Anolis sagrei: one gene and its partners. The protein of the gene in region 1 binds, or shares a complex with, the protein of each later gene. Links are inferred from orthologs where the notes say so. Each region holds a gene or a part of one and is shown in the gene's direction. Other genes may lie near its edges.

Region 1 (8,689 bases):
CACACATCCATCTGTCTATCTATCTATCAATCCATATCTATCTATCTTTATATGTATATATACCCTTACATATATATACATGGAGCCTACCCCTATATATATTCCATCGCTGAGCCTGGGGAGCATTTTGCCCTGTTAATTGCCTTGAGTTGCCTACGGGCTGAGAAAGGCAGTATACAAATATATATCTATATAAATAAAAATGTAATGTTTGTTTGTGGGATTAAAATTGTGTTTTGAGGCCTTGGCCTATGTAAGCAATATCGAGTCCTTCGGGAGATGCTAGCGGGGTGCACATAAAGTTTAATAATAATGATGATAATAATAATAATAATAATACTCAAAAAACACTGGACAAATTGACACCAAATTTGGACACAAGGCATCTACTAACCCAAGGAGTGACCATCACTAAAAAAAAAAATGATTTTGTCATTTGGGAGTTGTAGTTGCTGAGATTTACAGTTCACCTACAATCAAAGAGCATTCTGAACTCCACCAATGATGGAATTGAACCAAACTTGGCACACAGAAATCCCATGACCAACAGAAAAATACTGGAAGGGTTGTAGTTCACCTACATCCAGAGAGCACTGTGGACTCAAACAATGATGGATCTGGACCAAACTTGGCACAAGCACTCAATATGTCCAAATATGTGTTTGCAGGAAATAGACCTTGACATTTGGGAATTGTAGTCACTGGGATTCACAGTTCACCTACAGTCAAAGAACATTCTGAACCCCACGAACAACAGAATTGGGGCAAACGTCCCACACAGAACACCCATAACCAACAGAAAATACTTTAGGCCATCCACTCCAACTCCCTTCATCAGGGCAAGAAAACGTAATCAAAGCTCTCCCAACAAAGAGCCATCCAGCCATAGATATAGATAGATAGATAGATAGATAGATAGATAGATAGATAGATAGATAGATAGATAGATAAATGGATGATAGATAGATAGGGCGTTGTAGTTGCTGGGATTTATAGTTCACCTACAATCAAATAGCATGATAGAATTGAACCAACCAGGGCATACAGGACTTCCATGACCAACAGAAAACACTAGAAGGGTTTGGTGAGCATTGACCTTGAGTTTGGGAGTTGTAGTTCACCTGCATCCAGAGACTACCATGGACTCAAACAATGATGGATCTGGACCAAACTTGGCACGAATATTCCATATGCCCAAATATGAAGATAGATGGAGTTTGGGTGAAGTACACCTTGACATTTTGGAGTTGTAGTTACTGGGATTTATAGTTCACCTATAATCAAAGAGTGATCTGAATCCCACCAACGACAGAATTGGGCCAAACTTCCCACACAGAACTCCCATGACCAACAGAAAACACTCAAGGCCATCCAGTCCAACTCCCTTCACCAGGGCAAGAAAATGTAATCAAAGCCCTCCTGACAGAGCCATCCAGCTATAGATATAGATATAAAGGATTCACACACACACAAATATAGTATCATAGATTTGAAAGGGACCCCTGAAGAAGGACAATTATATGTTGTATATGTAGGCAAATCAGACACTCTCCACATCAACACTGACAAAGAAATAGCAAGAAATACTGTTTACCCACAAGTATATTAGAAACCAACACTTTCTCATTACTTTATTTTCCAGATCAACAGACTGGGCCACAGCAACGCGTGGCAGGGGACAGCTAGTGTGTGTGTGTGTTTATATATATATATATATATATATATATATATATATAGTAGAGTGCATGAATAAAAGAACTCCCAGCAATCGTCCAGATAGATAGATAGATTAGATAGAGATAGGTACGTAGGTAGATAGATAGATCAAGAGGACTGCTGGGAGTTGCAGTCCAAGAGAAGGAAAAAAGGGGAGAAAGCAAAAGGGAAAGAAAAGGGGGGAAGGAAGGGAAGAAGAAGAAGAGAAGGAAGGAAGGAGAGAAAGAGGAGAAGAGAAAGAGGAAGGTTGGCCACTGCAATGCGTGGCAGGTACATCTAATGTATATATATAGTATATAGTATATAATATATAATATATTATATGTTATATATTATATATAATATATTATATATAATATATTATATATTATATATTTGCACTGTCTAATTATGAACATGAGTTCTATACAGATATAGTTTTCCCTCGTTACTTCACGGTTCGCTTTTTGCGGACTCGCTGTTTCGCGGGTTTTTGCCTCCCAGTTTATGAATGGTTGCCGTTGCCGTTCTAATCCTGCCTCCTGGCAACGATGGAGTGTGGAAGGGGGTGTCACCCCCCCCCCTCAGGAGAGAAACAGCCAATCAAGAGAAATTGCAAAGCAAAGCAGAGATAACTAGCAAAAAAAAAGGTGTATTCATATATAGCATTCCTACTTTGCGGATTTTCACGTTTTGTGGGTAGTCCTGGAACGTAACACCCGCGATAAGTGAGGGAACACTGTATATAACTGGATGGCCGTTTGTTGTCTCCTTGCAGGGTCATGATGTTTGAAGACAAGGCCGGTGAAGGCGCTGCCCCGAAGGCCCCCGGCCCCCCTCCGAAGAGGGACATCTCTACCCTGCCGTGAACCCCCTTCCTTTGGGAAAAAGACCCCCACTTGACCCCAGACCCTTTTAGGAAGCCTGCCCTCCCTTACTAACTCTCTGCTTTAGCAAAGGAAGAAGGATCGAGAAGGGAAATTCCTGGGACCCTGGCCGGAGGGACCTCTTAGAAGTAGCCGTTTTAAATATATGCATATATATATATATATATATATATATATATGTATGTATATCATATAAATATCATATAAACATATATTATACACATATCTATCTATTTAAGCACTGTCTGTATAGCCGGCCGTGTCTCTGGAATGGGCCTGGGTTCTCTTTGCAAACAAAATGTCATCCTTTTATAAATCATTAATGACTTTAAATAATTATAATCTATATCTTCTAAATCTATATCTAGGATGGTTTTAAATGAGGTATTTTAATATTTGATAAATTGTTTTTTAATGTTTATGTATTCTATTTGAATTTGTGTCCCGGCATTGAATGTTTGCTGTATATATGCTGTGCTCCGCCCTGAGTCCCCTTCGGGGTGAGAAGGGCAGAATAGAAATGTTTTAAATAAATAAATAAATAAATAAATAAATAAATAAAGAGAATGTTTGTATGTATGTGTGTATGTATGTGGCAGCTTTCTGATTGTCTGCCACTGTGGCGTGCACGAGCGACGGACCTGGACCAAACTTGGCACACATGGGATGATGGGACTTGAAGTACCTTCACTCCCTTCCTGAGACTACTGCTTCAATGACTGATCAAGTCGTCAGGCAAGCATACATTGAATACAAAACAAAGCCTTTTTATACATATACAGAGCTGTCAGATTTGAATCTCCCGCTCCCCGCCCCTCAGCCGGCTCGGCGCTGATTGGTTGGTGCTCTACAGCTGGGAGGAGGCTTGGTCGCCTCCGGAGTGCCTTAACCAATGGGTGAGCTCATGCCGTTTCGGCCTCCTGGCCAATCAGGAGAGAGGGAGGCGGGACGAGAGGGAAACAATGAGAACTTGAGTGGATTATGGAAATATGTGATGTCCATGTGGCTGGTGAGTCCTCAGGGGCCTTCCAGCTGACCAGCTATTGTGATGAGGAGTTGGTAATCAACATTGATGTCTGGCGAGGTGGCCAGAATCCGGATTTTTCTTGAGCAGGGATATGGGGACAATGGAACAATCTTATCTGCAGTTTCGGTTGAGGGAAGATAACTGAGTAAACAGATCAGGACAAATTGTGGCTTTCTGAAGGCCCTTGATAACTTATGCCAAGTGGGCACATCTCCTCAAGCAGTCGGACTCCGAGACCCAAGATCAGTGCCCATTATGCTATAGAGCAGGAATTTAGGTGTCTTTGCCAGGAGGCAGAGACCAATCAGGCTCCTTAAAGAGTTTGTTACCCTGGCGAGACAGAGAGAAGCACCCAATCCCTGATTTTTCCCAATAAAAGGTCTCACCAAGTTGAAGGAAGTGCCACCGAGGTTTATTAGCGATTCAGCTGAAAAGGATGCAGAGCAGCAATAATTCGCCAAGCAGAGCATGTGGTTACAGAAGTAAAGGCCATTTTTATAGAAAATACAGAGTTGTGAGTTTCAAAATTCCTGCTCCCCCCTCCCGCCCAGCTCGAAGGGGATTGGCTGACGCGCAAACAGCTGGGAGGAGGCCTGGCCATCCCCCATGCATCAGGGCCAATCACAGGGCTTTTGCGGGGCACCAGAGCCTATCAGGAGGCTCCTGCTGCCTCGACGCTCCAGCGAATCAGAAGGGAGGGAGGCGGGATGAAGGGAGACAATGCATTCTGGAGTGGATTATGGAGTTTTAATGTCCTTAGGCTTATCGAGTCTGGGGATCGGCCTTCCAGAGAAGCCACTTTATTGTCCTGAAATGGGTCTGTGATAAGCATTGATGGCTTAATCCGGTTTTTCCTCTTACAATCAGATAGGGCACAAAGGGGAAACTTTTGTGAGTGTCCTTAGTGGAAAGATTTGAAAGAAAAATGGCTTGGAGGAAAAGAGGACTTTCCTAAGGTCATATTTCCCCCCATTGTTATATGATTAAAAAGTCTGCCAGACAGGAACCCTTAAGATGGCCCAACTCCGAAGTCAAAAGGATTTCCTTTACTATTGTCCATGCAAAGAATGTCCAAAGAGAAGGGTCTTTTCATGATCGCAGGTTGCTTTTCCAGAGGCAGGGCAGATTCCTTGTAGATTTCCCCCAAGGAGAGGGGAAGGGGGCAAAAGGGTCAGGGCAAGGTCAAATACATGAAGGGAAATATAGAAATACAGGAGAAGATATGAAAATATAGAAATCATAACACAAGGAGTAAACCCAACTACCTTCCCCCAGTGTCCATAGTTCATATTATTCATAGGAAGGTCCATAAAAGGAAATATATCCATGAGGAGGAAAGAGAGTCCCTTGTTCATGAGATGGGGGACCATCAGGAGCCCAGGTGTGCCTCAGATGGAAAAATTCAAATATTTTTGTGGCATGATTTTCGGTAGTTTCTGCTGTAAACATATGAAAATAGGGCATCCCACCCAGAACTTGCCACAATTTATGATGATCCACACAGTCAAAGGCTTTAGAATAGTCAATGAAGCAGAAATAGATGTTTTTCTGAAACTCCCTGCCTTTCTCCATTATCCAGCATCCGGATATTGGCAATCTGGTCTCTCGTTCCTCTGCCTTTTCTAAACCCAGCTTGAACATCTGGCAACTCTCGCTCCATGTATTGCTGGAGTCTTCCTTGCAGGATCTTGAGCATTATCTTGATACCTTGCTATCTCTAGGGTCCCACATAAAACAAAAAAAAAATGGCCTAAGGGAACCAGAAGTCGATGTTGCAGTGAGGTGTCTATAGATTTCTAACTCTTTGGTCTCCTGAGCGGGCGGGTCCGAGGAAAACGCCACGATCCGCCTCCATTTCGGCTTCTCTAGGCTTCGAAAGCGGCTTTCTCTATGGGAAAGGTAAGAGAGAGGCGGGTATGGGCCTAGAGCGCCACCGGAACCGGAAGCTTCGTCCTGGTTTCCTTTTTCCGGCCGAGGAGGTGAGGTGAGGTGAGGCGGCGACGCGGAAAGAAGGAGAGGGATGGGCGACGACATGGACGTGATTCCCGAGAGGGAAATGAAGGTGAGGCGGAGGGGAAGCGAGGCGGAAGGGCTTCCTGGGGAGAAACTTGCTTTCGCCTCAGTCGACGGGGAAGAAGAAGGGCTGGAACTGTCGCTTGCCTGTTTCCAAGACTTCGAGGCTGGATTATTATTATTATTATTATTATTATTATTATTATTATTATTATTATGTATCATTCTATATTGAGTAAACATACCAGAAATATATTATTGTATCTTTCATGCAATACTTCATAGTTATGTTATTATACATTACTATTATTATAAATTATTTGAAACACAACAAGATGAGTCATAGAATCCTAGAGTTGGAAGAGACCTCCTGGGCCATCCAGTCAACCCCATTCTGCCAAGAAGCGGGAAAATTGCATTCAAAGCACCCCTGACAGATGGCCATCCAGCCTCTGTTTAAAAGCTTCCAAAGAAGGAGCCTCCACCACACTCTGGGGCAGAGAGTTCCACTGCTGAATGGCTCTCATAGCCAGGAAGTTCTTCCTAATGTTCAGATGGAATCTCCTTTCTTGTAGTTTGAAGCCATTGTTCCGCGTCCTAGTCTCCAGGGAAGCAGAAAACAAGCTTGCTCCCTCCTCCCTAGGACTTCCTCTCACGTATTTATACATGGCTATCATATCTCCTCTCGGCCTTCTCTTCTTCAGGCTAAATATGCCCAGCTCCTTAAGCCACTCCTCATAGGGCTTGTTCTCCAGACCCTTGATCATTTTAGTCACCCTCCTCTGGACACATTCCAGCTTGTCAATATCTCTCTTGAATTGTGGTGCCCAGAATTGGACACAATATTCCAGGTGTGGTCTAATCAAAGCAGAATAGAGCATGGGGAGCATGACTTCCCTAGATCTAGACACTATGCTCCTATTGATGCAGGCCAAAATCCCATATTGGCAGAGATAGCATGCAAAAAAAAGTGTGTGGTGTCTTTACATCTCTCCACGCTTCTCCCTCACCCTAAGAACGCAATATACATCTATTTATTTTTTTTGCCGTGTCAAGAATGACTCCTGGTGTGAGAGAATTGGCCGTCTGCAAGGACGTTGCCCAGGGGACGCCTGGATGATTTGATGTTTTTATCATCCTTGTGGGAGGCTTCTCTCATGTCCCCGCATGAGGAGCTGGAGCTGATAGAGGGAACTCATCCGCCTCTCCCCGGATTTGAACCTGCGACCTTCAGTCCTGCCGGCATAAGGGTTTAACTCACTGCGCCACTGGGGGCTCCATATACATCTATGATTTCCCTAGATCTAGAGATTATGCTCCTATTGATGCAGGGCAGAATCCCATTGGCTTTTTTTGCCGCCACATCACATTGTTGGCTCATGTTTAACTTGTTGTCCACGAGGACTCCAAGATCAAGTCCACAGCAAACGAGGTCACTCTGCTGGCTGTTGTATTGGATCACACGTCGGACACTTCCCAAGTGTCTAAGACTGTGTGATGTATCGGCTAATAATGCGTGCAGATCCAAGTAGGGTGGCCTTCTGCAGCTGGCAGATAGTAATTTTGTCAGCGCTGATTGTGTTTAAGTGCAGGCCAAGGTCTTTAGGCACTGCACCCAGTGTGCCAATCGCCACTGGGACCACCTTTACTGGCTTGTGATGTTGAGAGCTGTGCTGGTGATAGTATAAACTACCAGCAGGTTCAGCCAAGCCAGAGTGGTCTCCACTGAGAAGTAGAACTAAGTACACCCAAACCATTTAAATATGGTGAAACAAATTGTAAAGAAGTTTATACTGGCTCGGTCATCACCCAGGATAATAAGGACCACAGCAAGTGCTTCTCCTGGGCACCCATCGACAAGTGGGCTGCAGGAACCAGGACCCACTTCTGAGCAATCAGGGCGTGGGCCTGAAGGGCTACTGGAACCACCTTTACTGGCTTGTGCCAGAGTCTTTACAGTTCAATCTTTAAATCTTCACATTGTGTCCCACCAGATCTTTGTCGCAGGCAGATGGTATTTCTGGTACAAATTCCAATGAATCATCTCAGCAACAGTGTTGTGCCTCTGCTTGTAGTCTGTCTGCGCGATCTTCTTACAACAACTGCGAATGTGATCTGTTGTTTCATCTGCTTCCTTGCAGAGTCTACATTTGAGATCTCTTGTTGACTTTTCAATTCTGGCTTTGATGGCATTGGTTCTAATGGCTGCCAGAATCAGGCCATCCTTTGTCTCCTTTTTCAGAGTTCCATTCGTGAGCCTCAGCCATGTTTTTTCCTTGTCAATTTGGCTCTCAGTGTTTCCCAGGAACTGTCCATGGAGAGCCTTCTTTGACCAGTTTTCTCTTCTGCTCTGAATTGTGTTTTTATGGTATTCTCTCTTTGTCTTTTGCACTTGTTGACTTCACTATTGACTTCCCTCAATGTTGGTTCTTGACTGCCTTTCACATAATCTGCCAGTGCGTGTTTCTCTTCTTCTACCGTATGTTTCACTTGCAGAAGCCCTCTCTCAAGCTCCTGATTTTCTGGGCAGGTCAAGTCTGTTGACATCACTACACGGGTGTAATGAGGAGTGGATTGTCATCAGTTTTCTTGTTTTTCTATCCAGATCGCCCAGCTCTGCTTGTGTAGTTCACAATCCCAGCAGTGTATCTAATGATGGGGATGGCCCAGGTGTTGAGAGCCTTGATCGTATTTCCGCCATTTAATTTGCTCTTCAAAACCTTTCTGACTCTTTGGATATATTATTTGCTGACCACCTTTTTCACTTGCCCATTCTTGATATTGTCCAGCTGTAGTATGCCCAGATATTTATAGGCTTCAGGCTGATTGTACTTTATGGTTTGTCCATTTGACATCTCTATGCCCTCGCTGTGAGTAATTTTCCCTTTCTTTACTGCCGCTGTGGCACATTTGTCAAGGCTGAGTTCCATACTAATGTCAGTGCTGGAGATTCTGATTCTGTTTCAGTTTCCGATTTTCCATAAAACCTTAGATCATCTATGTACAGCAAGTGGGAAATATTTGGTGAATTTCTTGCTGTTTCATAGTCTTCCAAAACTTTGTCAGT
Region 2 (8,126 bases), on another chromosome or scaffold:
AAGAAGAACATTCAGATTAACACAGAAGCCATTAGGGTATAACATGATGTTAATTCTCTCTTCAGGCCCCCCACAGATATATCTGAATACAGGTCTAGAATTTTAATAAAAATTAAAATTTACCATGAACTCCTTCTAGACTGCAGCCTTTTATCTCTCCAACCAAAATCTCATCAAGAAAGGGATGAAACACCACATACCGAAAATGCACTATAAAGAAGGAAGCAGATTTTCCTTAGATAAATGTTTCACTTGTATGTTGTCAAAACATACATGTGCACAAAATTAGCATAGCAACATTGTATAGCACGAGAAAAAGCATGGTATAAATGCAGCTAATAAATAATTACAGCTGTACTTGCAAGGCAAATGAGCATAAGCCAGTTTGTTAACAGATTGAACATCAAGATAGAATATGGAACAAGTGTATAAGTGTGAGAATGCTAGCATTAAATGAGAAAATGTATACAGCATGGCAGAAATGGTACCTTAACCTGTCCTAAGCAAAAATGGTACCAAGGATGAAGGAGAATGAACATAATTTTTTCAGTTTCGTATGCCACAAAAATGTGCTTTCCAGCTGTATTATGTATCAGCACAACAGAGTTATAATAAAAAAATATGGAGTGCTGTGGTTACCCAGAAATTATTATGTTGCCTAGAGGGTAGTCTTGAAGATCCATAGTTGTCAGATCCAAAAATAATTGACATGGAAAACAACAGGCAAACCTTTTGTGTGTGATGCACCATCTCCTGGGAATATGTAGGAGTCCTCCAGCTTTGTAATGTCATAGAGACAAATACAGAGGCCAACATTATACACAACCTGTTTAGAGAAATAAATCCAAAAATCAATGAAGTTGAATACTTTGGAAGAGATGTGTTAGCCCCCTTGAAACAGAACAAGGAATACTGTACCAACAAACCAAACTGGTGAACGGATCTATAACTGGATAGATAAAAATAATTCAAATATGCAAGTAACGCTACAAGAACAAGAAAGAATGATAACAGAGGGGGTGGTTAAGGGGGAAATGAAGGTTCATACTTCTGAGTAGCCAGTCTCCTTATCAATTTCTCATTATTTTCAACATCTCTTCACTCTTCTATTTCATGTCATGTGGGAGCTCATTTACATATTAAATGTAACTAGTGAAAAGATACTAAATTTATATTGATCAAAATCAGCGACTTTACAGTGTATAATTTTAGCATTGCAGCTACATTCATTAAATATATGAGACAGCACCATGACTGTCCACACGACATTTGTCCACAATCCTTCATTCGCTTAACTGGGAATAATCTGCCTTTGACATATGTAAGATGGAGCAGTAAATAATAATAATAATAATAATAATAATAATAATCTTTATTTGTTCACTGCCTTTCTCACCCCTTTGGGGAACTCATGGTGGCCTACAGCTCTGGCAAAATTCAATGCCATATAGACACAGTCATAAAAACGTATTCCAACAAATAAACAATTAAAACAGATTAAGCAAATAAATACACATATTATTTGTATACACCCAAAGTTTACTGTCTTTAGAATCTGTGTGACAGTATAGTAGTGAGACAAACCATGCAAAGTTTACCTTATTGGCCAGTTTCTTATTTAACTCTTCAGTGATGGCATCATTAAGCTTCCTTTCAAACTGCCATGGAGGGATTCGCACAGTATCTGTCATCTCCACTAACACAAACATGATAACTTGCAAAAACAATGCTCCTGGGGAGAAGGGAAAATCAGCAAGAGGACTCTCCTTTCTGTAGTGATAGCTGTTGGAGAAGAAAGTGGCAAGTTCTAATTGTGGTCTAAGGGAAGAAAACGCCAACACTTGAGCAAAATATAAGATCAGCTTATCCTTCGATTTTATACTGGTGGAAGGAGGCTTAAATCATTGGTAGGAATTGTGTGACTCCTCAAAATGTTGTCAGGCTGCAACTACAATTGTGAGGAACACTGAATGTTGTACTAGGTATTATTTATTTATCGTATCAGGGGCAAACCAAACAGTTGCATTGCATTTTTTAACAAAACACGAAGTTTGCAAGCTTGGTAGTTGATTAAATGTCCTTTGACCAGTATCTGGCCACTTGGAGTGCCCCTGGTGTTGCTGCATTGTGCATGTGGCAGGGCTCAGGCTGAATTGTAATAGGTTTGTCTGTGGTTTGCTCTTCTCCACACTCGCATGTTGTGGATTCCACTTTGTAGTCCCATTTCTTTAGGTTGGCTCTGCATTGGAGAAGAAGCCTCTCCTAGTTTTGGCTTCTTCTCTTACTGGTTACATTAGAAGGGAATTTGCAACTGGAAGTAGTTTGAGGCCCAGAACCACAGAAAGGACATACAGAAGGGATCTTCTACCACAGTGGTTCTCAACCTGTGGGTCTCCAGGTGTTTTGGCCTAAAACTCCCACAAATCTTAACCAGTTTACTAGCTGTTAGGCTTTCTGGGAGTTGAAGACCAAAACATCTGGGGACCCACAGGTTAAGAACCACTGTTCTACCACATGCATGGGCCAACTTGGGCCCTCCAGCTGTTTTGGACTTCAACTCCCACAATTCCTAACAGCCTCAGGCCCCTTCCTTTTCCCTCTCAGCCGCTTAAGTGTGTTATACCTGTTCTACCATCAGTTACAACTTGCAAAGGCCTGCTTTGAGGTAGTTTATTGAAGCCAGCAGTGGCTTTCTATCCACACAAGCAGTCAGCATCCCCAACAGAACAGAAGACCCTCCAAAGATGGAAGCATATCTTTCCTAGAGCACCTCTCCGTTGTTTTCGATTATATCCCTGGAAATCAGAAATGCATCTAACTCACCCACAACCGCTTCGCCACGCGACCCTCTCCTTCTCCAGCAGGCGATAAACATCCGTTCGGGTTACCGCACCACGCATGCGCGGCAAACAGCAAGGCTACGAAGAGGAAGTAGAACACTGGAAAACGCTGTGCATGGTGGGAGCTGTAGTTTGGAGCGCTGGGAACAAGTCACCCTCCTGTGTTCACAGATCCTTTACCCAAGCCTTCATGGCCTGACCATATTTTTTTAAATCCGAAAAGTACACATTTATTTTATACCAGCCGTCCCCTGCCAGGCGTTGCTGTGGCCCAGCATGGTGATCTGGACAATAAAGTAATGAGAAAGTGTTGATTTCTAATATATGTAATTTCTTTATGCTTGTTAGTAAACAGTATTTCTTGCTGTTTCTTTGTCAGTGTTGATGTGGAGATTGTCTGATTTGCCTACTCTGGAACATGCAACATATAATTGTCCTTCTTTAGGGGTCCCTTTCAAATCTATACTATGCGCGTGAATCATATGACTGGGTGGCTCTTTGTCAAAAGGACTTTGTTTACGTTTTCTTGCCCTGGTGAAGAGAGTTGGACTGGATGGCCTTAAGTATTTTCTGTTGGCAGTGGGAGTTCTGTGTGCCAAGTTTGGTTCAATTCCCTCATTGGTGGAGTTCAGAATGCTCTTTGATTGTAGGTGAACTATAAATCCCAGTAACTAAAACTCCCAAATGTCAAGGTCTATTTTGCACAAACTCCATCTGTGTTCATATTTGGGCATATTGAGTATTCCTGCGAAATTTGGTCCAGATCCATCATTTTTTGAGTCCACAGTGCTCTCTGGATGTAAGTGAACTGCAACTCCCAAACTCAAAGTCAATGTCCACCAAACTCTTCAAGTGTTTTCTGTTGGTCATGGGAGGTCTGTGTGCCACGTTTGGTTCAGTTCCATCGTTGGTGGAGTTCAGAATGCTCTTTGATTGTATGTGAACTATAAATCCTAGCAACTACAATTCCCAAATGACTAAATCAAAATTTTTGAGTGATGGTCACTCCTTGGGTTAGTAGGTGTCTTGTGGCCAAGTTTGGTGTCAATATGTCCAGTGGTTTTTGAGTTATGTTAATCCCACAAACGAACATTACAAGTGGTTCTCAACCTGGGGTCCCCAGATGTTTTTGGCCTACAACTCCCAGAAATCCCAGCCAGTTTACCAGCTGTTAGGATTTCTGGGAGTTGTAGGCCAAAATAATCTGGGGACCCCAGGTTGAGAACCACTTAGGATGTTTTATATAAAGGATGTCAATTTTCTACGCCACTGTATATAAGAGGACTTGAATATCCGCAGAATACTCAGAAAAGTTAAACCAGCTAACACTTTCAAACAAAGTATTCCTGCAGGCAGCAACCAACCGGGCTTTGAAGCTGCAAGGCCATTCAATGCTAATGAAGGTCGCCAATTGCAACATTCACACTTGCCTCAAGCAGACAAGAGTTCTGGACATTCCACAGAATATAAACCCCACTTGTCCAGTTTCCAACAGAACTCACAACCTCTGAGGATGCCTGTCATAGATGTGGGCAAAACGTCAAAAAAGAATGCTTCTGGAACATGGCCATGCAGCCCGGAAAACTCACAACAACACAGTGATTCCGGCCATGAAAGCTTTGGACATGACATCAATCCATTCTGTTCAACAAGGCCTTGTTGTTGTGTACCCTGAAGCAGTTTCCAACCTGTGGCAACCCTATCACGGGTTTCCTTGCCAAGATAGATTCAAGAAGCTTCCTCTTCCGCAAAAAAAGGGTTTCTATTTCGACTTTCCCGCCCTTTTTTCTCCCGCTGGGCCTAGAACTACAAACCCCAAAGTTCTTTCCATGTTTCGATCTTAGGCGTCTAAATCGTGCCTGCGTTCCGGTCGTGCAATTTGAGCGCTTTTGTCGTAATGGACTAAAGCACTACCCTCCTACATGTGGCTAAAATAATGGAAAACGCTGATAATATGCATTTGCCATTTATTAGCCGAGTTGTCTATGAAGAGAGGATTTTTTCCTGATCCGGCAGATCGCGGGCACCTCTACCTGCTCTAGGCCCCTGAGAAGCGAGGGCGCCTTGAAGCCCCTTCGCGAGTTTCCAAGATGTCGGCGCCGCTGGCGGTAATTTCAGGTGAGAAGAGCCCCGAGTTTGGCCTGAGGCTCATTCGGGGACGGGGCGGCATCGTTTTGGGGTTGCCTTGCCCTGTCTTTGGGCCCTGCGCCACTCTTTGCCGTGGAAGGGAACGTGGAGGACTGCCTGAGACCCACAGCAGCCAAGTTCTATGGGGCTTGCTCCTAAGTACATGAGTATAACCCAGTGCAGTTACATAACAGTGTAGATCAGGCAGGGGCAAACTTTTGGAAACTCCCACAATCCTTAACAGCCTTAGGCAGTGGTTCTCAACCTGTGGGTCACCAGATGTTTTGGCCTTCAACTCCCAGAAATCCTAACAGCTGGTAAACTGGCTGGGATTCCTGGGTTGTAGGCCAAAACAACTGGGGACCCACAGGCTGAGAATCAGTGGCTTAGGGGGGAATGGAAAGGTCCTGAGGCTGTTAGGGATTGTGGGAGTTGAAGTCCAAAACACCTGGAAGGAGGGGTCAAGTTTGCCCACGCCTGGTATAACCACTCTGGGTCTCCTCGATTCAGAGAGAAGCACGGAGGAATAGTGGTATTAATAAAATAGAATTGTAAGATAATAGAATGATAGTTTTCTAAGGACAGGCAATACATTCCTAAGCTTACTTCTTTAGCAGCAACTTTGATACCAGAGGCAGGGAAGAGTAGGAATAGGTTTCTGTATACAATTTGTTAAGGGGAAGTGATAAGTATAAGAATGTTTAAACACTGAATATGTAAAACTACAATAAATATTTTTTTTTAAAAAAAGGAATAGGTTCTGGCAGCCACTTAAAGAAAAAACAAAATGCTGCATGAATGTGTTTTCATAGAATCATAAGAGTTGGACTAGACCGCATTGGCCATCCAGGCAAACCCCATTCTGTCATGCACAAACAAAGCATCCCAACCACCACAATCAGGTGGACAATTTCAACAGAAAGGAGGAAACTATGAAAATGAGCAATGTCAGGCGAACACTATTAAAAAACTAAAAGCAGGGAAGCAAATAAAGAACAACACTCAAAAACAGGGAAATTCCAGACAAGAAATAATCAGGGCCAACTAATCACCTCCTAAGAAAGGATTTCCTCATTCAGGAAGTAGCCAAGCTTTAAAGCTGCAAGGCTATTCATTGCTAATCAAGGCAATCAGTTGTAACATTCCCATTTGCCTCAAGCAGACAAGAGTTCTTTCTCCCACTCTGAACATTCTACAGATATATAAACCGCACTTGCCTAGTTTCCAACAGACCTCACAATCTCTGAGGGTGCCTGCCATAGATGTGGGTTAAACATCAGGAAAGAATGCGTCTGGAACATGGCCATATAGCCTGGAAAACTTACAGCAACCCATCCAGCCTCTGTTTAAAAGTCTCCAAGGAAGAAGCTTCCATCGCACTCTGAGGCCGAGAGTTCCATTGTTGAACAGCTCTAATAATAATAATCACAATAATAATGCTTTGTTTATATCCCTCCCCCTCGTTCCAAAGGGATTTGGGGCAGCTTACAACACAGAATACAAGATAACAGTCACACAAGCAGAAAATTAAACAAACAAATCACAATAAATAAAATCTAACAAACATAATTACTTACAACTTATAGCTATCAATCATATAACTATAAGACTTTAAACTTATGGTCAGGAGGTTCTTCCTAATGTTCAGGTGAAATCTTCCTGAGATGTAAATATGCGCCTTAGTATTCTCCCATTTGGTGGAAAACCAACAAATATTTTGTGGCATGCATTTTTTGTAGTTTACAACTTATTTATACTGGTGGGCTTGCTTTGAATGTGTGTGTGTGTGCTTTGAATGTGAGCTCCCCCCCAGCACCAACTGCTGCTCTGAGATCAGAGTGAAGAGAGGGGCCAGGAAGGCATTTCCATCTTGTCTCCTGCACTGTGCTTATAATATAATATAATATAATATAATATAATATAATATAATATATTGTATATACATATAATATTGATACTATTATAATGTAATACAATATAGTACTACGAATAATATTACAGTATAATGTTATAGTACAATATAGTAATATATAATATTAATATTGTGCTATGGTAATAATATAATATATTGTATTTACATATTGTAAGCTGCTCTGAGTCCCCTTCAAGGTGAGAAGGGCAGCATATAAATATTGTAAATAAATGCAGTTTTTCTACTTCTTGGGAGGGAGTTGGATTGGATGGCCCACAAAGACTCTTTCAACTCTATGATTCTATGTTATCAAATAAATGATTACCCACATAGGGACTTTTCTTTTGCTTTCCTGTCTCTGTTCACTAAGCTGATTGCTGCTTTTGTAAAAAATTAATTAATTTATCTTAAATATTTTTCTGTAAAATATTTTTGCACATGAATAATGTTTAATCATAATATTCACTTGTGGTAAATATCTTGCTTTTTTCTTGCTTTGTCTATTTTGCTTTTAGCTGCCAGTTTATGGGGACCCTACAAAGACATTTGGCAAGCAGTTGTTAATGCCATTTGGAAAAGGCAACCTGAAGCAATACATATTCTTGACCAGATTTTAAAGAAGCATAAACCTGATTTTATATCACTCTTCAGAAATCCGGTAAAAAGCAAACTTTTCTTCTCCCGGTAATGGGATAAAATAGTGTTGCTGGCATTGTGTGATTTTTATAACTATATTTATTATGTTTATATGTATTAAAATAATGAAGGATAGGTTTTTCTAACTGAATTTTTAATAACGTAGTGAAACTGTTTCTTCTTTATTCTAACTTGAATATTTCAGATTGTATTATAAGAAGTTTCTCAACTATTATAATTAAATTGATTTGACTGATAGATTTTAAAATTAAACGTGTATTCTAAGAGGCCTGCTGTTGCTAGAAAAGAGGGAAATAATCTAGAACTGGGATAGGAGTCATCCTTCAAATGTTTTTGGTCCTCAGATCTCAGCATATCTTGCCACCATAGCTCATGGTGAAAAACAATAGGAACTAGAGTCCAGTATCCTGAGGGCTATGTTATTCCTATCCTTGCTCAGTAGATTTGAAATCATAATGCCTATTTGGAAAGCTTTTAAACTCAAATTACAGTTACATCATTGTCATCATCATCATCATCATCATCTTTATTTATACCCCACCTTTCTCCCCGTCAGGACTCAAGGCAGCTAACACTCCACACTAGATAAG
Region 3 (8,051 bases), on another chromosome or scaffold:
ACAGGCATACAACAAGTTGGAAGGACAATAACTTTATAAACCAGCATCTTCATATCCCTACGAATGTCCCAATCCTCAAACACTCTCTGCTTTATTTTTTAAAAATGCTGCACTCGCAGTGCTCAGATGATAGAGCAACGAAGATACCTTCAATTTCCCTTCCCTAGTCTAGAGAAAATTACAACGTCCATTTCAGATCATTCTCCAATTTCAACTGGCCTTCTACTATCATACTTCCTCCTGGATTAGCCATCAGCAGTACTAACATTCAAGCACCACCCCTGAAAAATAATATTTATATTTACATACAAATAGTGAGCTTGTGTACACTACAATGTTCACACCCTAGAGCCATTCAAAAATCATGATATCCTGCCAAATTTTCTGTTGCCCTCGCAAACGTAACATAGTTATGGGATTCAATTCCTATTACAGCCAGAATTCTCTTATGTGAAAGGGCTACGAGATAGCTATAGCCCAGAGGTTACACAAATTAAGTCACTAAAGAGGATGTTATGTTAAAATCATACAGGTACATTGTTATCTGAGTATATGAAAATGATGAAAAGGCATGGTTTTAGAGGCAATACTTTCCTGCTGCATAACAAAGCTTCCAAGGCCATTGTGATACAATGAGGTAGCACAGATGAAGTGACAACTGATATCTAGATTCAAAGAATCGAACAGCAAGGATCTAAGCTCATCTGGAAATCCATTGATAAAGCAGATAAAAGGCTGACCCTGAACTAAATACATCCTCTTGAAGAAAGTCCAAAGTATAGATAGAAAAGAGACGTAAGGGTCCAGGTTCTTAAAAAATATAATTTGAGTGTATAATTTAGGGTGTCCAGCCTCCCAAATCTAATCTCATCTGCTATAGCAAGGGAGATGTGAGAATTAACGATAAAGACAGAATTAAAGGTTTAATAGAACTAAACTGGTATAACGCCAGGGCTGGCATCCATATGCCCAACTGATGCAAGAAATGATGGTTGTCATGAAGTAACAGCAAAGTGTTAGTTATTTGCTTTGTTATTTAGGGGTTTTTTAACATCTGAAGATGGGCAAAAGTGTTTCTGGTATTTTCTGTGTCATGTGTCAAAACAATTCAGCTAGTTTTGGGCATTTGCAGCTACTATTTAGGCAACAAAATACTTTGGGTCAGTTGTGTTGATGAATTACTGGGGGGGGGGTAGAAAAAGATATTTTTAACTCTGTATATTGATCACTTTGTTCTACAGTCTCAACAAATCTGCCTTTTGGTATGGAAAAGCAACCACTGGGGGTACATCTACACTGTAGAATTTATGTAGTTTGACACCACTTGCTATGGCATAATGGGAGTTGTAGTTTGGTGAGGCGCCAACACTATTTGGTGGAGAAGGCAAAAGGCCCTGTAAAACTACAGCTCCCAGTATTCCATATCATTCAGTTACAGTTGTTAAAGTGGTGTTAAGGGTGTATTAATTCTACAGTGTAGGTTCACCTTGTGTCTCACTATGAGAAACAGCAACACAAAAGGTGTAATACAGACCAAAGCTAGATTGCTGATTCAGATTGTAAATTTCAGCAGTGTTCCAGGGCAGAAGCAATGGAGATAACTTTTTAAAAACCCATAAATAAATATATTGCCTTTAAAATTAATTAATAAAGCAAAGAGTTTAGAAAGGTTAGTTTTTTGAACAATAATCCTCAGGAATCTTTTACCTAGCACGAACATGTTGGCTAGTTGATACAGGGAATTTTAGCTCTCCAAAATCTAAGTTCTTGAAAAGTGTTGTTCTGCTAAAGTAGGGGTAGGAATCACAAATTGCAACTTTTAGCATTCCTCTCATATTTCAGAATGCTAAGTTAAATATATTGGGATCCCACCTATGCTGTCATATAATGCAATTTCAAACTGAGAGTTGTAATCCAACAGCATCTAGGACTCTATTTGATTTCCATTCCTGTATGAGAGAAAGGAGACAATAAAAAGGGAAATCAAAGCTTTTGGGGAAAGCAAAGTCTTTGAGGGAAAGAGGAAAGTGTTTGTTTTTATTGTTGGATTGAGAAAGATAAGCAACAAAAGCAACTCACTAAGTGTTGTTCTTGCTCTTTCTGGACTCTGTCCTCAATCCCGTGATAAATAATAAGCAGAAATGACTCTCACAATGTTGCATAGGACTATACAAAGAGAAACATTTTCTTGAAATTTAAAACAAAGCATTGAGTGCTCATGGGATAATAAAACATGTCTTCACAAGCACTTTCTGTACTAATATTCTCATACATTACTTTAATGTAACGTTGTCTCGCTCTCCATAGGGCGAAAAATGTGAGAACAGAACAATATGTAAGACTATATTTAGGTCTGTGACTCCATCACCTTTCATATTTTAACACATTTGCCTGATTAAAACGTGAACAGAGATTTGAAAGTTTGCATCATTGGTTTTATGCATTTTGGTTGGTCAATAAAGATATTATTCTTTTGTGGATACTTCCAAAATAAGACAGACTCAATTTAGTCATTATTTATTCTATTGAGAGTTCAGACTTGATTTTCTCTAAATCCCATTAATTTGGGTTTGTTGGGGTTTTTTTTTAGTAGTCTGTGGTATCCCTATAACTCTTCTCCAGCACATTGAAATGAATAGGTTTTCTTAACATATGAACTTATGGGGAAAATAAACAAACGATGTGCCAAGGATCTTAAAGTGACTGATGCCCTCTAGAGACAGAGCCAAGGTAAATCAGCAACTGGAATTCCTGAAAACATAAAGCATACTGACCTCTATTTTGTTTTTTAAAAAGCAAGAACAGGAGACAGGAGGAGAGCCAGTGTGGTATACAGTAGTAGTTTAAGTGTTCAACTACAACTTTGAGACCAGAGTTCAAATTCCTGCTCAGCCATATCTCAATGATATAAACTCATGAGAATTGTAACTTTACAAGGGCATTTGCCTTCCTTGCCAAATAGTGCTGGTACCTCCCCAAATTATAAATCTCATTATTCCATAGCATTGAGCCATGGCAGTTAATGTAGTGCAATATGAACAAATCAGTAAAATGACACATCAGTGTCCAAGGAAACACCAGACCTCTTATCACTGACCTTAACACAACTGCTGTGGGGAAAAAGAAACAAAAAAGAAAGATTTGAATGAAAGGGAGAGTGAAGGGAAATAGCTGCATTATAATTCATTATAATGCAGTCTATAATTCAATATTATGACATGTGTTATCTACTGCCAAGGCATTTGTATTATAAATAAAAGTTGCATGGACATGTTAATAAGGTAAATACCAGTCAGTACTTTCTCATTTGATTTCTCTTTGATCACAATGGCTACAATCCTATCCTATACATGTGCATAATACTCTTATAGTCAGCCCTCCATATCCATAGATTCTGCATGCATGGATTCTACCATCCACAGCTTGAAAATATATATTACAAATCCAAAAAAGCAAAATATTGATTTTGTTTTTAATGCGAGTGGCACCATTTTCTACACAATTGTATATAATGAGACTGAGCATCCATCTTTATTTATTAATGTTCATGTATAATTGTTATTTGTTATCCTGTATTTTATGATGTGGCATTGAATTATTGCCAATTGTAAGCTGCCCTGAGTCCCCCCAGGGATTGAGAAGGGTGGGGTAAAAATGTTCTAAATAAATAAATAAACAAATAAAAATGCGCTCAAATTTCTGAATGACACTGTATGTAGCATGGGTGATAGTCATGAAAACTTATGCTATGTGCAAAGAAGCTGTTAGGAAAATGTGATAATGCTCTCAAATCAACCAGAAAAGGAAGAAACAAAACCTCTCCCATGGGCCAGGATCCTCTTCCTTTGAAGAATACTGAACCTGGCAGATATTATGATGCTACAGCACCTTCCAATGTGTTATTTCTTGTAACAAGAGCTCCAGGCATCCATGCATATGGAGGTTATATTCCTTACATACAGCACACTGCTCACACAATGCTTTTTGGTGACTTGAGGGCTTTTTTGTGACACACAGTGTAAGAAAGTGAGTCCACATCCATGGCACCACAATATCTTCTTTGGAAGAAAGAATAATAAAGTAAATCTGAACTTGAGTTACAGTTATTTACAGAAGATGAACATTTGATTGGTAAAATATATAAGCTGTTATTAACACAAACTTTAATTTAAAATATTGTATAACATTACCTTTGGTTTATATGTATAAGGATAATACAAAAATGTCTTCAGGGTTCTGATTAGAAATACATTTATATATATCCTTAATGTGTTGTCGAAGGCTTTCATGGCTGGAATCACTGGGTTGCTGTGAGTTTTTCGGCCTGTATGGCCATGTTCCAAAAGCATTATCTCCTGACGTTTTGCCCACATCTATGGCAGGCATCCTCAGAGGTGAGATGGGAGAAAGAAACTAGGCAAGTGAGGTTTATATATGGGAGAAAGAACTCCTGTCTGCTTGAAGCAAGTGTGAATGTTGCAATTGATAATCTTGATTAGCATTTAATGGTCTTGCAGCTTCAAAGCTAATTGCTGCAAGGCCATTCAATCAATGCTAATCAAGGTGGCCAATTGCAACATTCACGCTTGCCTCCAGCAGACAATGTCTCCCACCCTGGGCATTATTCCACAGATATATAAACCTCACTTGCCTAGTTTCCAACAGACCATTCAACCTGTGAGGATTGATGTTTATATTTGGAAAATCATTGGTTCCGGCTGGACATCATCCCTTTTGAAATCAACGCGCACGCAACGACCGTTAGGCCGGACGTAACTGAGAGCCAATCATCCCGCCGTTGCCCTGGCAACGCCGCCTGTCCTTTCCGTAAGCAGCGTAAGGGCACGAGTCGCGCAGACAGCCACGCCCCCTCCCGCCCCATGATGCACAGCGGAGGCGCACTCCCTCCGGCCACGCCCTCTTCCTGCTCCTGCCTCCCGTGAGGCCCCGCGGCGCCGCGCGCGGGAAGGGAAGATGGCGGCGTCAGTGGCCGAGGGCCTCGGGGAGCGTGGCTACCTGGAGCTGGGCGGGACCTCAAGGAGGCCGCGACGCCGAGCCCGGGAGCTCGCCTTCAGCCTCCCAGGTGGGTGCTCTTTCCGGGCCAGGTGGGCCACCCTCCTATTCGAGCAGCGGTATCAGCCAGGCTGGAACAGTAGCTCAGGCCTGCAAAACCGAAGGCCGTCAATCCAAAAATGACCTCAGGGTTGCTCCACCACGTACATACTCCTATGTTCCTATGTTGTAGTACGTTACCGAATGAAATTTGTACAGGTTGAGTATCCCTGTATGCGAAATGCTTGGGGCTAGAGTAGGCATGGGCAAACTGAGGCTCTATTGGTGTTTTGGACTTCAATTCCCAGCAGCCTCAGGCCCCTCCCTTTCCCCCCTCAGCCGCTTAAGCGGCAGAGGGGGAAAAGGAAGGGACCTGAGGCTGCTGGGAATGGTGGGAATTGAAGTCCAAAACACCTATAGGGCCTCAGTTTGCCCATTTCTGGGCTAGAGCTACCCTGGATTTATTGGAGAAAATATACATACTTGTATTTGAATATATGTACCTAATGAGATATATAAATGGGCATCCAAATCTAAGCAGACAATTTATGTTTTGTAATGAGGTACCTTTAGATGGGACCCAAGCCTAAGCATGAAATTTGATTATACTTTGTATACATTTTATACTAGGCATGGGCAAATTTCAGCCCTGCCTCCAGGTGTTTTGGACTTCCAACTCCCGCAATTCCTAACAGCCAGTATAAAGATATTTTTAACGTACTTTTTAATGGTTTGTGCATGGAACGCAATTTGTGTATGTTGTACTATCAGAAGGCAAAGGTGTCTCTATGTCAGCCATCCAGTGTGGGCAATTTTGGAGCATATCAGAGTTCTGAATAAGGAATGTGCAACTTGTATTCACATAAGTACTAAAAGAACTGTGTATGCCTTCTTTGTTAAGGTTTTTGTATTTGTCACCCAAAATACTTTAAAAACTGTTACAAGCATTCAATTCACCATGAAAAAAGAATATGAAGGAAAGCTGCCATTTCTAGATGTCCTAGTTATCCGCAAACCCAATCAACAATTGAGCCACAGTTTACAGAAAACCTACACACATGGATAGATACCTACATAAAAACTACAACCATCACCCAAGTAAAAAAAGAAGCACAGTTAAAGCCCTGGCAGACTGTGCAAACAGAATCTGCGAATTCCTCCTCCAAGGGGAACTGGACCACCTAAACCGGGCTCTACAGGCCAATGGAAAAACATTTTTTTGTTGCCAGCAGGTGTAATGGTATTCTTTTATGTGGTGCATGGTGGCTGACCAGCCTCCCTTGTTTGCCCATTGCAGGTGGTGGTTTGTCCTCTACAGCCGCGCGGTATGCAGACAGCGCTGGTGGATACTGGTACCAGCAGAATGCGCAGCTGGGATCGGTAACCAGAAACCGCTTCATTCATTGGTGAGTGGGCCAAAGAAGTGCTTTTTGTCTGGCTGAACAGTTATTCTGTTCTTGTCACAAATATCTACCCCTTAGTTTGCTTTGAAAGGGGCCCTAGATTAAGAATTCTGTTTTTGGGGGGAGGGAGCAACCATATTAGGTTGAGGAAGCAATACTTATAGAATACTTTTCAAACTACCAAACTTACTATAACTTGTGATACAGATTCAGTCCACTTCCTCAGAGGAATGGAGTATTATCTTTGAGTTCCTTTCTAGAGAAAGAAATAAACAGACTTCCACAAAGTACATGATAAGCTGGAATACTGATTGAAGTCAGAGTAGAATTAAATACACAAAGTATAGTAAGGATTTTGTTATTAATACCATGAACTATGAATGGAAGTGTTGGTGATAACAAACATTCTAGTAGTGTCTGCTTCATTTGTTTCTTTCCAGTGGGCCCTTTTTGTCTGTTCCTGGTAACCTTTGTGTTTAGAGAGATGTCAACATTGATTATTTTTTTTTGCAACTAAGATTGGAGGAATGTTTTCTAGATCTTTGTCCAAAGGTGCTGTGTAAATAAAGCTGATTTTGTAAAGCTTTGATCAGGGGCCCCCAAACTAAGGCCCTCCAAGGTCATTTACCTGGCCCTCGCCCAGGGTCAACCTAACTCTGAAACGACTTGAAAGCACACAACAGCAGCTATTTAATCAACCAAAAACAGGCCCACACTTCCCATTGAAATACTAATAAGGTTATATTTGTTAAAATTGTTCTTCATTTTAATTATTGAATTGTTTTAAAGTGTTTTTTGCACTACAAATAATAATTGTGCAGTGTGCATAGGAAGTCATTCATGTTTTTTTCAAATTATAATTCGGCCCTCCAACAGTTTGAGGGACTGTGACCTGGCCCTCTGTTTAAAAAGTTTGAGGACCCCTGGCTTAGATGCTCCTTTTTTTGCATTGGCCAGTTCCTCACTAGGTAAAAATATACATCCAGGGAAGGAGTCTCAGGTGAGATGTGTATTTAAATCAGTGATGCGTAATTTGAATGTCCAGTGACAGCAACTGTATATGGTATTGAAATGGACATTGAAGTCAGAGTTAAAGCATTGATTTCTAGTGGCTTCCATAACAGTGTGATGCGGGTTTTGCTAAAGGTTTTAGTTTGAATTTTACAGGAACTGTCCCAGATGCTGAACTATAGGCCCACAAATGATTTCAGCACCTTGGATAACTCCTATAGAGTTTGCATATAAACCAGATTGGAGTTCTTGTTTCACTAACATGACTAGAATTGAATAAATGCGACTTACCTAAACATTAACAACTGATTTAATTGATTATAGTACTCTGTTGGGACTAACCAGCCGTATAGCAAAGAATTTCAGAGCCAACAAACAAGATAGGTTCTAGACATTTGTTCTTAAGTTGAATTTGTATGTAAGTCAGAACTACTACATTTTTTAAGTGAAAAGCCAGCCAAAACCATTTTTTAGTTTTAGATAGCATGGGAATGGATTAGCATGCCTGTAAAGTTTGTTTTGCTGTCTGTGCCCTGTTCAAAAGATTTCATCTCATTTCCTGTCCCTGTGACAATTGGATTTTGA
Region 4 (7,877 bases), on another chromosome or scaffold:
TCCCACGCAGGACATTACACAGATATAAAAACGATAGTTTCCTAGTTTCCAATAGACCCCTCAGCCTCTGAGGATACCTGCCATAGATGTGCATTAAACTTCAGGAGATAATACTTCTGGAACACAGCCATACAGCCCAGAAAACTCACAGCAACACAGTGATTCTGATCATGAAAGCCTTCGACAACACATTGTGTATGTTGCAATTGTCCAGCTTTATTTAGCATTGAATAGCCTCACAGCTTCAAAGCCTGGCTGGTTGCTGCCTTGGGGGATGCTTTCTTGGGAGGTGTTAGATGGCCCTGATTGATTCTTGTCTGGATTCCCCTGCTCTCTGAGTGATGTTCTTTATTTATTGTCCTGATTTTAGAGTTTTTTAAAAAATACTGGTAGCCAGATTTTGTTCATTTTCATGGTTTCCTCCTTTCTGTTGAAATTGTCCACATGCTTGTGGATTTCAGTGGCTTCTCTGTGTAGTCTGACATGATGGTTGTTCGAGTGGTCCAGCATTTATGTGTTCTCAAATAATATGCTGTGTTCATCAGGTGCTCTGCTATTACTGGCTTCTCTGGTTGATGCCTGCCATACATGAGGATGCCTGTGATAGATGTGGGCGAAACGTCAGCAGAGAATGCTTCTGGAACATGGCCATACAGCCAAGAACACTCACGGAAACCCAGTGATTCCGGCCATGATTATTATAAATTAAAAATAGGTAAATGTGTTGTTGAAGGCATTAATGGCTGGAATCGCTAGGTTTCTGTGAGTTTTCTGGGCTGTATGGCCATGTTCCAGAAGCATTCTCTCCTGATGTTTTGGCCACATCTATCGCAGGCAACCTCTGAGGTTGAGACGTCTTTTGGAAACTGAGGCAAGTGAGGTTTATATATTTGTGGAATGTCCAGGGCAGGAGAGAGAACTATTGTCTGTTTGAGGCAAGTGTGAATGTTGCAGTTGGCCACCTTGATTAGCATTGAATGGCCTTGCAGCTTCAAAGACTGGCTGCTTCCTGCCTGGGGGCATCCTTAGCTGGCTCTACTTCTTTCATCCAAGTAATATATACTCACAAATACAACAGTATGTATAGGTCAATAATCAATTAACAGGTTTGATAAACCTGTTTATTGATTATTGACCTATACATACTGCTGTATTTGTGGGTATATATTACTGTGGTATATAACCAGGAATCCATTTAATTTATATTCTTCCTGCTTGTTTCATGTCAGGAATCCCCAGTGTTTTGAGTGTTGCTCTTTATTTATGATTTTAGAGGGGCTTTTTTAAAATACTGGTAGCCAGATTTTGTTTTGTCCTCCTTTCTGTTGAAATTGTCCACATACTTGCAGACTTAAATGGCTTCTCTGTGAAGTATGACACAGAGTCTGACAACTGACCTCCCAACCTCTGAGGATGCCTGCCAGATGTGGGCAAAACATCAGGAGAGAATGCTTCTGAAACATGGCTATACAGCCCAGAAAACTCACAGAAACCCATTATTATTGTTACTCTACACCTGGACTCAAGCAGGCATTGAATGTTTGCCTTTGTGTATTCTGGAATCCGCCCTGAGTCCCGTTGGAGAGATAGGTTGGAATACAAATATATTATTATTATTATTATTATTAGAAGCACAACAAGATGAATCTACAGCAGACAAGATCACTTTGCTGGCTGTTGTATTGGATCATACATCGGACACTTCCCAAGTGTCTAGGACTGTGTGATGTATTGGTGAATAATGCGCTCAGATCCCAGTAAGGTGGCCTTCTGCAGCTGGCAGATGGTAATTTTGTCAGCGCTGATTGTGTTTAAGTGCAAGCCAAGGTCTTTAGGCACTGCACCCAGTGTGCCGATCACCACTGGGACCACCTTGATTGGCTTGTGCCAGTCTTTGCAGTTCGATCTTTAAATCCTCATATCGTGTCAGATTTTCCAGTTGTTTCTCTTCAATCCTGCTGTGACCTGGGATTGCAACACTGACAATCCATACTTTGTTTTTTAACACAATCGTGAGGTCAGAGTATTGTGCTCCAAAACTCTGTCTGTCTGAATTCGGAAGTCCCAGAGGGCTTTGAAGTGTTCATTTTCTGTAACTTTTTCAGGCTTGTGATCCCACCAGTTCTTTGTCGCAGGCAGATGGTATTTGTGGCACACGTTCCAATGAATCATCTGAGCTATGGTGTTATGCCTCTTCTTGTAGTCTGTTTGCGCAATCTTCTTGCAGCAGTTGAGGATGTGATCTATTGTTTCTGCTTCCTTGCAGAGTCTACAGTTAGGATCTGCTGTTGACTTTTCAATTCTGGTTTTGATGGCTTGTTCTTGGGCTGCCAGAATCAGGCGTCTCCTTTTTCAAAGTTCCATTTGAGCCACAGCCATGTTTTGTTTTGTTTTTGTCAATTTGGCTCTCAATTTTTCCCAGGGACTGTCCATGGAGAGCCTTCTTTCACCAGTTTTCTCTTCTGCTCTGGATTGTGTTTTTACGGCATTCCCTCTTTGTCTTTTGCACTTGAAGCAGTTTACTACTATTGACTTCCCTCAATGTTGGTTCTTGACTGCCTTTCACATAATTTGCCAGTGCATGTTTCTCTTCTTCTACCATTTGTTTCACTTGCAGAAGCCCTCTGCCTCCTGATTTTCTGGGCAGGGAAAGTCTGTCAACATCACTACGTGGCTGTAATGAGTTGTGGATTGTTATCACTTTTCTTGCTTTTCTGTCTAGATCATCCAGGTCTGCTTGTGTCCAGTTCACAATCCCAGCAGTGTATCTAATGACGAGGATGGCCCAGGTGTTGATAGCCTTGATCGTATTTCTGCCATTTAATTTGCTCTTCAAAACCTTTCCTACTCTTCGGACATATTATTTGCTGACCACATTTTTCACTTCCCCATGCTTGATATTGTCCAGCTGTAGTATGCCCAGATATTTATAGGCTTCAGGCTGATTGCACCTTATGGTTTGTCCATTTGGCATCTCTATGCCCTCGCTGTGAGTAATTTTCCCTTTCTTCAGTGCCACTGTGGCACATTTGTCTAGGCTGAACTCCATACCGATGCCAGTGCTGAAGATTCTGACTATGTTGGTCAGTGCCTGGATTTCAGTTTTTGATTTTCCGTAGATCATCCATGTACACCAAGTGGGAAATTTTTGGTGAATTCACAATTCCAGCAGTGGGTTGTTGTAGGGGTTTTTTGGGCTATATGGCCATGTTCTAGAGGCATTCTCTCCTGACGTTTCGCCTGCATCTATGGCAAGCATCCTCAGAGGTAATGAGGTCTGTTGGAACTAGGAAAAAGGGTTTATATATCTGTGGAATGACCAGGGTGGGACACAGGACTATTGTCTGCTGGAGCTAGGTGTGAATGTTTCAACTGACCACCTTGATTAGCATTTGATGGCCTGGCAGTGTCTGGACATCTAATCACCTCTCAACAAAAGATTTTCCCAGGCACTGCCAGGCCATCAAATGCTAATCAAGGTGGCCAGTTGGAACATTTACACCTAGCTCCAGCACACAAGAGTTCTTTGTACCACCCTGGTCATTCCACAAACCCATTTTCCTAGTTCCAACAGACCTCACTACCTCTGAGGATGCTTGCCATAGATGCAGGCGAAACGTCAGGAGAGAATGCCTCTAGACCATGGCCATATAGCCCGAAAAAACATACAACCCAGTGATTCCGGCCATGAAAGCCTTCGACAATTCCAGCAGTGTAATAATAATAAAAATAATGTATTATTATTATTATTATTATTTTAAAAAGGCCCAAGCCTCCTTTCCAGTGATGCCATTTCCCCTCAGAAACTGCAACCGAGTCTTTTTCTGAAGAGAGGCAACAGCCTCCTAAATTCCCGCTCATTCCAGAATCTCGGCCCCTCTCCTCTCGCGAGATCCCGCGCCTCCTCTGGAAGGCTGCGAGAGCCTCCACCTGCCTGCCTGCCTGCTAGGTATGGCCTAGTAGTCGGTCTTTCTCCAAGACTACATTTCCCATGAGAGCGCAGTGGCATGAATGAATCCCGGCCGCTCAGCGAGCGGGAATGACGCATGCCATGATGCTGCGTCGCACTTGGGTGACGAGAGGCCGCACGGGCGTGTGCCCTTTGGTTGGTTGGTCGGTCTGTGGAAAGGAAGCGAGGAGGAGGAGGGAGGGAGAGAGGGGGAAGTCTCGGGCGGGCTAGACGGTGACGAGGAGGAGAAGAGAAGAGAAGCGCGGCGCGCGGGGAAGCCGGGCGTTCCGTGTGAGGGGCGCGAGGCGGGCTCCCTTCGTCACAGAGAGAAAGAGAGACAGAGAGAGTGACAGCACAGAACGCGCGTGAGGGCGAGAGCCAGAGGCGGGAGCAACGTGAGGGGAGAGCGCGCGCGGGCGCGCGCTTGAGGGGAGGCCGGGTCGGGCCAGGCCTCAGGTTGCGCCGCGCGCTCGAGGGGGAGGGAGGGGGGAGGGGGAAGGGAGCAAAGCGAGGCCCCGAAATGGAGGCCGGAGAGAGCAGCGGCGGAGCAGCAGCAGGAGGCGGCGGAGGAGCAGCAGGAGCAGGAGGCGGTGGCGGGAAGATACGGACGCGGCGGTACCACCACGCAGCGCCCTCCTCCAAGCCTTACCCCAGGAACAAGCAGGTGAGGCAAGGAGAGGCCCAAAAGCATGGAGACCTGAGGGGAAGAAGGGAGGGAGGCGGGAAGGAAAGAAAGAAAGAGGCAGGCCCGAGGGAGCCTCCGCCAAGGAGCTTCGCAGAGGGCCTCAGGAGCAGCCAGGCCATGGAGGAGGAGGAGGAAGAGGAACAAGGTCCCGCGCCTCCTCTTCCGCCTCTTCACATGAGGGACCAGGGCCTTCCAATACAAGGATATTATCACAATCCAAACCAATAGGCCTTTATTGGCATATATAACAAGACAGTATAAAATAAAATCTATAGAAATAAAAATGTAATGTGAGATCAACATAACTCAAAAACCACTGAACGAATTGACACGAAATTTGGACACAATACACCTATCAGTCCAACGAGTGTCCATCACCATAAACACACACACGCGTGCATGCACACACACACAACCCCAGCGGAACAGGCTTAAAAACCCCAGAAATACACCATATATAGCTATACACTCATATACATATGCACATGCACACATTCATACACACAGACCCGTAGCCAGGATTTTGATTGGGGGGGGGGAGGCTGGGTTTGGTTTGGGGGGGGCTGAGTCTGAGTGAAAGAGGGTCTACCCTAGCAAACCTTTTGTATCATTACCCCAATACCCCCATGCATATGGGATATATTGAGCATGGTGATCAGATCATGATATAAATAAACATAACAATTTAAATAGTGTACCAGTAAGGCCTTCTTGCGGACCACCATGAGAATTTCGGGGGGGGGGGTTGAAGCCCCTCAAGCCCCCCCCCCCCCGGCTACATGCCTGCATCCACACACACACACACACATATATATATATATATATATGCACAAACACACACAAATATACACACATATACATACACATATATACATATACACATGCACATATACATGCACACATACATATACACATACATGTCTACATACATATATACACACAAATATGCATATAGACAAGCACACACACATACACAATATGCATATACACATATAAACACAGAAATACACAAATATATACATGCATATATACACACAAATATATATACACAAATATATACACATGCATACATATATATACACACACCACATATATACAGACTGGGCCACAGCAACGTGTGGCAGGGGACAGCTAGTACAGTATAAATGATAAAAGAAAGAAAACTTCACATTTCCAACATGTTCAGTTTACAGACTTCATCCAGACTTGTTTCCTTTTAATGTTTGATGTTTTGCTTTACATTTGTTATAATAGGCTGTGTTTTTAATTTAATTTTAGTTGTTAAGTTATCATTCGTGTTTATATGTTGGGCTGTTTAAATTTTGTTAGTATGGATGTATTGCTGTTGTATTCGGGCATTGAATGTTTGCCTTTTATGCTTGGAATCCGCCCTGAGCCCTTCGGGGAGATAGAGAGGAATATAAATAAAGTCATTATTATTATTTGAAACACAACAAGATGAGTCCACAACAGACAAGATGACTCTGCTGGCTGTTGTATTCAATCACACGTAGGACACTTCCCAAGTGTCTAGGACTGTATGATGTATAAATAAAGTATTATTATTATTATCATCCAGGAACCTTTCCTCTAAAAGGCAACAGTTAAAATCTTGGCAGTTTAAACACGTAATTATTTTTGTCAGGGTCATTATGTTTTTTTCAAAAAATCTATAACTTGTAGTAGAAAGCTAGATCTTAGTTCCTGGTAAAGTGCAGAAGAATGTGCAGGATGGAATCCAGCTGTTCCTGTGCTACAGGAGCAAAGCCTCGTTGCAATATATCAATAATAATTTATTATTTTGACTAAATAATAATAAATAATGATGGGTGATACCGCACCATCAAATTGCACTATAAGGTTAATAATAATATGGCATTGAATGTTTGCCATCTTTTGTTGGAAACAGCGCTGAGTCCCCCACGGGGCAGGTTATAAATAAAGTTTTATTATTAATATTATAAATAATCATAGTTCAATGTGTTGTTGAAGGCTTTCATGGACGGAATCATTGGGTTGCTGTGAGTTTTCTGGGCTGTATGGACATGTTACAGAAGCATTCTCTCCTAGTGTTTCGCTCACATTTATGGCAGGCATCCTCAGAGGTTGTGAGGTCTGATGGAAACTAGGCAAGTAAGGTTTGTGTATCAGTGGAATGGCCAGGGTGGGAGAATGAACTCTTGTCTTTTTGAGGTAAGTGTGAATGTTGCATTTGATCACCTTGATTAGCATTGAATGGCCTGCAGCTTCAAAGCCTAGCTGCTTCCTGCTTGGGGGAATCCTTTGTTGGGAGGTATTAGCTGGCCCTGATTGTTTTGTGCCAGGAATACCCAGTGTTTTGAGTGTTGCGCTTTATTTATGATTTTAGAGTTTTCTAATACGGGCAGCCAGATTTTGTTCATTTTCATGCTTTCCTCCTTTCTGTTGAAATTGTCCATATGCTTGCGGATTTCAATGACTTCTCTGTGTAGTCTGACACAGGGTCTGACAACTGACCTCACAATCTCTGAGGATTCCTGCCATAGATGTGAGTGAAACAGGAGAGAATGCCTCTGAACATGGCTATGCAGCCCGGAAAACTCACAGAAACCCATTATTATTGTTACTCTACACCTGGACTCAAGCAGGCATTGAATGTTTGCCTTTGTGTAGTGCCATCAATTAGCATTCTAAAGTTAACAATAATCTAGTTTATTGATGTAGCAGAGGCATGGACAAACTTCGGCCCTCTAGGTGTTTTGGACTTCAACTCCCACAATTCCTAGCAACCTCAGGCCTCTTAATTTCCCCCTTCAACAACTTAAGCGGCTGAGAGGGAAAGGGCCTTAGGCTGTTAGGAATTGTGGGAATTGAAGTCCAGAACACCTGGAGGGCCGAAGTTTGCCTATGTCTGATCTAGCACCATCAAATTGCATTGGAAAGTTAACCATAGTAATAAGAATAATAGAGGTTATTCATATGGCACCATCAAAATGCATTGTACTGTTGATCATAGTAATAATAGATCTGAATAGAGCACAGGGTCAACATGCGGCTATGAAGTGACTGGAATTTGGAAAGGCTTCCGGATTAAGATTTTGGGTCTACGTGCAATGTTTAACAGTGTATGTACTGTATTTATATGATGTTGTTTTTATGGCTTTTTATGATTTTAATGTATATTGTAATTTGTATTTGTATGTTTTAATGTGGCACAAATCTATGCCCAGCCTCCCTAGTCTGATCATGCCCTTGTCCTGGTTA

What was found.
Region 2: NUP214 (region 1) and NUP205 share a complex: the UniProt entries of both Homo sapiens proteins name them as parts of the nuclear pore complex. The link is inferred for Anolis sagrei from reciprocal best matches to the Homo sapiens genes NUP214 and NUP205.
Region 3: NUP214 (region 1) and NUP160 share a complex: the UniProt entries of both Homo sapiens proteins name them as parts of the nuclear pore complex. The link is inferred for Anolis sagrei from reciprocal best matches to the Homo sapiens genes NUP214 and NUP160.
Region 4: NUP214 (region 1) and NUP153 share a complex: the UniProt entries of both Homo sapiens proteins name them as parts of the nuclear pore complex. The link is inferred for Anolis sagrei from reciprocal best matches to the Homo sapiens genes NUP214 and NUP153.

What each region holds. Positions count from the first base shown.
Region 1 is NC_090031.1:17,129,004-17,137,692, forward strand, and holds the start of NUP214 (nuclear pore complex protein Nup214), read left to right. Parts: upstream 1-5,556; 5' UTR 5,557-5,629; coding exon 5,630-5,671; intron 5,672-8,689. Other genes in the region: AIF1L (allograft inflammatory factor 1-like), read left to right, coding at 2,474-2,564. UniProt on the Homo sapiens protein: Part of the nuclear pore complex. Has a critical role in nucleocytoplasmic transport.
Region 2 is NC_090025.1:157,994,662-158,002,787, reverse strand, and holds the start of NUP205 (nuclear pore complex protein Nup205), read left to right. Parts: upstream 1-4,887; 5' UTR 4,888-4,930; coding exon 4,931-4,958; intron 4,959-7,394; coding exon 7,395-7,537; intron 7,538-8,126. Other genes in the region: POLR3H (DNA-directed RNA polymerase III subunit RPC8), read right to left, coding at 124-210, 730-826, 1,599-1,782, 2,824-2,900. UniProt on the Homo sapiens protein: Plays a role in the nuclear pore complex (NPC) assembly and/or maintenance. May anchor NUP62 and other nucleoporins, but not NUP153 and TPR, to the NPC.
Region 3 is NC_090021.1:231,925,567-231,933,617, reverse strand, and holds the start of NUP160 (nuclear pore complex protein Nup160), read left to right. Parts: upstream 1-4,917; 5' UTR 4,918-4,974; coding exon 4,975-5,083; intron 5,084-6,349; coding exon 6,350-6,458; intron 6,459-8,051. UniProt on the Homo sapiens protein: Functions as a component of the nuclear pore complex (NPC). Involved in poly(A)+ RNA transport.
Region 4 is NC_090024.1:81,879,721-81,887,597, reverse strand, and holds the start of NUP153 (nuclear pore complex protein Nup153), read left to right. Parts: upstream 1-4,425; 5' UTR 4,426-4,469; coding exon 4,470-4,613; intron 4,614-7,877. UniProt on the Homo sapiens protein: Component of the nuclear pore complex (NPC), a complex required for the trafficking across the nuclear envelope. Functions as a scaffolding element in the nuclear phase of the NPC essential for normal nucleocytoplasmic transport of proteins and mRNAs.